2 linked regions of the Pelodiscus sinensis genome follow. The protein of the gene in region 2 interacts with the protein of the main gene of each other region in a pairwise test. Links are inferred from orthologs where the notes say so. Each region holds a gene or a part of one and is shown on either strand. Other genes may lie near its edges.

Evidence for each region.
Region 1: the proteins of ZMYND19 (region 2) and SAXO1 interact in binary tests that used the Homo sapiens proteins (3 or more experiments, as listed by UniProt). The two-hybrid records come from large-scale screens. The link is inferred for Pelodiscus sinensis from reciprocal best matches to the Homo sapiens genes ZMYND19 and SAXO1.

Annotation. Positions count from the first base shown.
Region 1 is NC_134716.1:19,822,706-19,826,453, reverse strand, and holds the start of SAXO1 (stabilizer of axonemal microtubules 1), read right to left. Parts: upstream 2,792-3,748; 5' UTR 2,622-2,791; coding exon 2,551-2,621; intron 1-2,550. UniProt on the Homo sapiens protein: May play a role in the regulation of cilium length. Stabilizes microtubules at low temperature.
Region 2 is NC_134732.1:1,204,250-1,207,997, forward strand, and holds the start of ZMYND19 (zinc finger MYND domain-containing protein 19), read right to left. Parts: upstream 2,697-3,748; 5' UTR 2,553-2,696; coding exon 2,502-2,552; intron 2,296-2,501; coding exon 2,236-2,295; intron 1,099-2,235; coding exon 992-1,098; intron 1-991. UniProt on the Homo sapiens protein: May be involved as a regulatory molecule in GPR24/MCH-R1 signaling.

The sequences.
Region 1 (3,748 bases), on a different chromosome or scaffold from region 2:
GTTCTCTATAGTAACTCCTATCATCCCTCCATTGACCTATTTCCCACTGATAATGAATGGTCAATTAGCTACCAAGATCATGTTATCTCATCAAACCATCCCCTTCATAAACCCATCTAGTTTAATCTTGAAACCAGACAGATCTTTTGCCCCCACTACTTCCCTTGGCAGGCCATTCCAGAACCTCACTCCTCTAATGGTTAGAAACCTTCGTCTAATCTCAAGTCTAAACTTCCTACTAGCCATCTTATATCCATTTGTTCTTGTGTCCACATTGGTATTAAACTTAAATAATTCCTCTCCCTCCCTGGTATTTATCCCTCTAATATATTTAAAAAGTGCAATCATGTCCCCCCTCAGCCTTCTTTTGGTTAAAGTAAACAAGCCAAGCTCCTTGAGTTTCCTTTCATAAGACAGGTTTTCCATTCCTTGGATCATCCTAGTGGCCCTTCTTTGTACCTGTTCCAGTTTGAATTCATCCTTCTTAAACATGGGAGACCAGAACTGCACACAGTATTCCTTGTATAATGGCACTAACACCTCCTTATCCCTACTGGAAATACCTCGCCTAATACATCCCAAGATCGTATTAGCCTTTTTCACAGCCATGTCACAATGGCGGCTCATAGTCCTTCTATAATCAACCAGGACTCCGAGGTCCTTCTCCTCCTCCGTTACTTCCAACTGATGTGTCCATAGCTTATAACTAAAATTCTTGTTATTAATCCCTAAATGCATAACCTTACACTTCTCACTATTAAATTTAATCCTATTGCTATCACTCCAATTTACAAGATCATCCAGATCTTCCTGTATGATATCCTGATCCTTTTCTGAACTGGCAATAGCTCAACTATAGGAACTGAGCAAAAGTCAAAAAGACTGACTGTTTTAATTTATAATCTTATTCTTTTGTCTGCAGATTTCAGAGGATGGGTCCTATAGAAAAGGAGATCTGGTTATTTCTTTCTGGACCAATGCTGTGAAAAACCATAATTGGATAACTGAGATTTAGAAAAATCACTAATGAACAGTGGGTTTTTTTAAATATCTGCTCCATTTCTACAGTTTTCTTCCTGAATATTATCTGGAACATGCAATTTTTTAGAAGCATTATCACTTTTCACAACAGGAAATCAAAGACCTGTAACAATAATACCAGTCCCTCAAAATGGCACCAGCCCAGGGGTAGGCAATACCTTGAGACAGGGGGCCACTTCAGAAATTTTTGAAGTGGCCCCAGGCAGAAGGGGTGGAGCCATGACACTTCCATGCTTCCCCATCCACAGACCAGGATGGCCTGGGGGTGAGGGGAGCACATGAAGTCTCCCCCCATCGCTCCCCAGAGAAAACCACCAGCTGTTCTTAACAGCTGGAAGTTCCCTCTAGGCTCCTAAGCCCCTAGCATCAGGAAGAGACTTTGCACATTCCCCCCACCCCCAAGTCAATCATGACCTGGGGGCAGAGGGAGCATGGAAAGTCTCTCATTCCCTTGCCCACTCCCTGCAAGGGGGTACTGTGCATAGAGTCAACCGCCAGCTGAGCAGCAGCCGGTGGTTGACTCTAAATAATCACGTGCCCTTGGCAGGGTGGGAATTCACTTCATGCACTCCCCGTATCCCCAGGTCTATCAGGGTCTGGGGAGGGTAGAAGTGCGGGGTCTTCTCCCGCCCTGCCCCCATCCTGCAAGGGGCACACGGCACTTACAATCAGCCTGTAGAGGCTTTTTTGCCCACCCCCTGCTCGAGCCCAACAGTTTAAAGCTCTCTTATTGGAGGCACGTTTCAATTGCATACAAGGAAGTTTAGAAATACTGAAAAATGTAGACGTGACTTTACAATATAAAACAAAGTCTCAGAGGGGTAGCTGTGTTAGTCTATAACTTTAAAAACAACAAGTAGACCTGTGGCACCTTAGAGGCTAACAAAAATATATAGGTAGTATCCTGAGCTTCATCTGAAGAAGTGGGTTTTTCCCACAAAGCTCAGGATACCATCTACAGTTTTGTTAGTCTGTAAGGTGACACAGGACTGCTTCTTGAACATAAAACAATTGATAAATAATAGAATAATACAGTCACGCTGGATACACATGGAAAACTGACATCCTGTCTATGTTAATAAGACTATTTAGAAAAGATTGAAATCCAAACATCTCTTTCCTTTACTCAGCTCTCCTTCCCCTCCCCCCCATACCCAGCCCTGTGAAGTCTTAGCAACAGGCAGTTCCCTATCACTCAAGGCCAACCCACAACATTTTGGCACCTGAGGCGGGGAGCTCAAATGACGCCCCCATGCCTCCTCCTCTTCTCCTGCCTGCTTTGTCTCTTGTACCCTCCTTCCTCCAGCACAGCACTCCACCATCTCTGTGCATCTAGGGCAGAGAGAATACACACGCACCAGCAGCAGACCCAATTTTCTACACTCTGGGTCCTAGTGGCGCCCCACCCACAGTCTGCCTCATGCTAAGGCCAGCCCTGCTACCACTTGCAGGCACGCAGACGCAGGGAATTTAACATCGCTGCTGCCAGCCCGGCCAGCTCTTACATACCCGCAGGAGCACAGCTGGCAAATGCACTTCTTGGTGGGCAGGGCCTTGGGCGGAGTCACGGGAGGAGACATCCTTGCTACGGGATGGAGCTAGATCCGCCGTCTCTCGCCCCCGCGGAAGCTCTGGGACGGAGAGTTTGACCAGCAGCCCTTCCGCAGGCGTGTTTCGGAGAAAGTTCCTATAAGGGACAGGGGTAGCCCCGGCCGGGAGCCGGAATCGCCGCAGCAGGTGAGAACGGCACTAAGGCAACTACATAGCACAGCTGATCCGCTTCCCGCCCCCCCAGCTCCGTCTCGTGCTGCTCCTCCCGCCCTAAGCAGCGCTGCTGGCTCCGGGGGCTGCAGCCTCGCGAGGCGATCACCCGGGAGCCTTTGTGAGGTCACACGGGCGAGCTAGCGCCGCTGTGTGCAGGCCCTGGGCCGGAGGCATTTAATGCGCTGGGCTGGGGTAAGCGGGTCGGGGCTGGAGTGGCACTTAGACCGGACACTCGAGCCTGGCCTGCTGGAATTAGAACTATTGCCGGGAGCTGGGGGGAGGCGGGGGGGACACGCACACTTGTCTCTAGTAGCCACTAGTGTTTTAAACACCACTTGTTCTCGACAGCGATACACATGGGATCACTAGCGCTCCCGTCCCGCCCGCGGGTGGAGCAGGCGTGCTGCATAAGAATGGCCTGTCCGCCTCCGGAGCGGGGAATTCGAAGTGAAAACTGGGGGGGGGGGGGGGGTACGCACAGCCTCTGTCATTACCCCTTTCGCTTGTTTACGGGAAGGAAGTTGCAGAGGCTGGTTGTGAACACGGTCCGCCTGTGCCGGGTCTTCTCTGGGTCATTCTTGAAGGACTTACCTCAGCCTCTAGGAGGGAGCCCTGCAGTAGTAGTTTTCTAGGTGAGATTAACTCAAAAGCTTCAAAAAGCTTGTGACCTTTTTAACATCTGATAGCATTTTGAACAGGAGGTGGTGTATTAACCGTAGCTGATCTGGCCCCGTTGCACCCAGTCAGCCTGCATTTCCTCTGGATGTTCACCAGTCCTTCCTAAACTTTAGCTACCCTTGTTCAGCCCTTGGCAGAATCCAGCAGGAAAAGGAGCTAAAGGGAAAATTAGACAGTGTGCCTCGCTTTGGTAGCTAGAGGAAAAATTAGACCGTGTGCCTCTCTTTGATAGCTAGAGGGCTTCTTTAAAAATAAAGTGTTAGAA
Region 2 (3,748 bases):
AGAAAACTCCTTAAGGAATAAGTTTTAGTGATTAATTTCTGGGCAACTCCAATTTAGGGGAACAAGAATACAAACTCACAGGAGGTGACCAGCAAATAATACCTATAGGTTTTTATCTCAAAATAATTATCTTTCAGTGTTACTTCAAGATTCTCTCACCAGGAGCAGTTATCTTTTCTACAAATTTTTCAGTTGAGTTTTGAATCACCAATAACAGTAAAATAGTGAGAGGGATGCAGCCGTGTTAGTCTGGTGTTAGTCTTTAAAGTGCTACATAGTTCTGTCTTTTGTTTCAATAACAGTAAAGGCTCTACTCTTGTTATGAGAGGGAGCAAAATAAGTTTCTACAAGATAATTAGACAGGAGAACACAGACTTTACAAAGTTAAATAATCAATTTAAAGTATTCAATAGATAATGACAGCCTGTGAAGTGTTTAGCAAGGAGGCACAAGTGACTTGCCTTGCCTGACAGAGGATCTAAAGCACTGAATCTTACCCAAGTAGTCAAAGAAGTGTGCAAAACTGAAAGTTAATAGCAAACAAAGCACCATAATATTGAACCATTAGCATTCTCCTATCCCAATCACAAATGAGCACACACACAAAATTACATTACTCAAGTGACAGTCACATCTCACTGGTACTACTGGGAGTTACACTTACATAGGATGGGTGAACAGAACCCGAAGAGTTAATATTTGCCCATATTTACAAAGAAATCACAGTAATGCCTAGGTTTATACTATGGGTATAGATGGGCATAGTTCAGGCAGCTTCCCATAAGCAACCTTTTTAGAGACATTGGTACTGTTCTTCATTAAGCCTTTTAACACAACACAATCTCTAATTGCACCCACTGTTAGTGTTCATAATGCATTTAGCAGCAAGTCCACTTCAGGAGATTCTTTTTAACACACAAACAAGCAGAAGGTTAAAAGCTACATCTCTGACTGAAACCTTTAATATATTAATTCTTTGTACAACACCTACCACAGTAGCTCATGCAGCAGACGGCCAGATCCCCTGCCTCGGTTTTTGTCAAAAGCATAAGCAAATATTTTAGCACCATTTCCATCAGCATCTACCTCCATCCGAGCCTGGAGAGAAGGAAAGAGTGTTCAGTGACCAAGGGCATCCAACTGCCAGCAGAAGCGCTTAACATTCCCTTTGGGAAATGGGATACTGGAAAGACCAACACCTGATATCATCTGTCCCCCTACAACTGCAGGAAACTGATTATATACTACTTCATCTCAACGGGATTTTAGTTATCTAAATCTTCTGTATTAGACAAAGACCAAAGGATTCTGCTACTGCACAAATGTGATAAATTGGGGAGAAGGAAGAAATAGACTGCACACAGCAGAAATGCTGAGCGCAAAGAGGAAGGATGGTCCTGTGGTTAGGGTGCCAGTCTAGCGCTCCGCTTTGCACCAGACAGTGGGCAAGTCACCACTTCACCATCTGTAAAATGGGGATAAGAGTACTTCCCAAGCGGACAGGGAGGCTGGTAAGATAAGTACGTTACAAACAAGAGTGACTCGGATACTGTAGCACAAGGGCCTTGTAAATTCGTCTGGGAGAGTCGGCATTCGCCATGGAGTCACGCAGAGCCCACTCTTGTTTTTTCAGAATTTATTGTGTTTTCCTCGCCACACCACAGCAGCTGCTAGCGGGGCTGGAAGGGGAGGGGGGAGGGGAAACGGGGGTTCCCTGCAGGCAAAAGGTTTTTAAACCAACTCCACCCGCCTGAACACCCACGTGCAAGTCAGCGCCTGCGAGCAGAGCCCGGCCCGGTGGGGGGGGGGGGGGGGGTTCCCGCCTGCGAGCAGAGCCCGGCGGAGGGGGAGGGGGGGTCCCGCCTGCAGCCCGGCCCGGCGGGGGGGGGTCCCGCCTGCAGCCCGGCCCGGCGGGGGGGGGTCCCGCCTGCAGCCCGGCCCGGCGGGGGGGGGGTCCCGCCTGCAGCCCGGCCCGGCGGGGGGGGGGGTCCCGCCTGCAGCCCGGCCCGGCGGGGGGGGAGGGGGAGTCCCGCCTGCAGCCCGGCCCGGCGGGGGGGGAGGGGGGGTCCCGCCTGCAGCCCGGCCCGGCGGGGGGGGGGGGGGGTCCCGCCTGCAGCCCGGCCCGGCGGGGGGGAGAGGGGGGGTCCCGCCTGCAGCCCGGCCCGGCGGGGGGGGGGTCCCGCCTGCATCCCGGGGGGGGGGGGGTCCCGCCTGCAGCCCGGGGGGGGGGCTCACCTCGAAGGAGAAGCTCTCCACCAAGGGGATGTCCTGCTCGTCGATCAGCGTGTACTTGGTCTGCAACACACGGGGGGGGGGGGCAGGTCAGCGCCCGGCACGAGGGCCCCGCCCCCTCCCCCCGCGCGGGGCGGGGCCTGGGCCGCGAGGGCCCCTCCGCCGGGCCACGTGCCCAGGCGGCGCCGCGGGACAAAGCGCGAGGCCCCCCCGATCCCGCGCTCCTGCGGCGCCGCCCCCGCCCGCCAGGGCCCGCGCGCCCGCCGCACCTTGCCGGCCACGCGGCCGAGCCGCACGATGCCCAGCTTGAAGTCCGTCATGGCCGGGCCGGGCTCGGCGCCGCCGCCTGCGCTCGCCGCTCGGGGCCCGGGAGCCGCCGCTGCCACGCGCCGCCGCCTCGCGCACACCCGGGGGGCGGGGCCGCACGCCGCCTCCCACCCGTCAGCGTTCAGCCAATCCCGGCACGCGCCGTGCCCTCCGTCATCGCCCTACGCCGCGCTCACGCCCAATGGCAAGGCGGGGCTGGGAAGGGTCACGCGGGGCAGCGCGCACGCACGGTGACGTCACACTCGCGGGAAGCTTTGTGCCGCCAACACTGGAGCAACGCAACGGGGGGGCGGGGCTTAAAGGGGCCGCAGCCACCCGCCTCGCGGGGGCCCCGCCCGCCCCGCCCCCTTCCTCCAGCGCTCCCTGCCCCCCCCCGGGATTCCTTTGGTGCACCCCCCCCGTCGTCCTGGAATTCCCTTGGTGCACCCCCCTGCCCTCCCCTCCTGGGATTCCCTTGGTGCACCCCCCTGCCCTCCCCTCCTGGGAATCCCTTGGTGCACCACCCCCCCCCCCCCCCCGTCGTCCTGGGAATCCCTTGGTGCCCCCCCCCGTTGTCCTGGGAATCCTTTGGTGCACCCCCTGCCCTACCTCCATCCAGCGCTCCATGCCTATTCTGAGCCTGAGTTGGCTGTGGTTTGGTGGAGAAGGGGGAATTGTCTGATAGAAGTGGCAGGATGGGTACGTAACGTGACTTTGCCTTTTAAAAAGGTGGTGTATGGGGATCTGCCATTAGGGCTGCAATCTCTCCTACCCGTCTGGCCGACCTACGAGGAAAACAGTTTTCCTGGACAAGTGTAATAATGCGGTGGTGGCATTGGTCTAGTTAGAGCATTCAGTACCAAATGCAGGTCCCACGGTTGCATTGGCGGATTGATATCTGGATAGAGTGCCTGCAGGCCTTTTAAGAACCTCTTGGTGAGTGGATGAGCAAATATGGACAAGTCGTCTATCTTGGAGTGTAATGTAGCGATAGGAGCAAGGTGAAATTTATTGCGAAGTGCAGGAGATAGTTGGGGATGGTAGGTAAGGAGAATGTCGAAGGAACCAGCTGGTGACATACACACCACTTCAAGAATCTTTTCCATTTCTGAAGGTAAGTCTTGCAGGTGCTACTGTGTAGAAGGACCCTTTGTACTTGCTGTGAGCAAGTCAACTCTAAGTCAGAGAACCAGCCAGAAACCACTCCTTC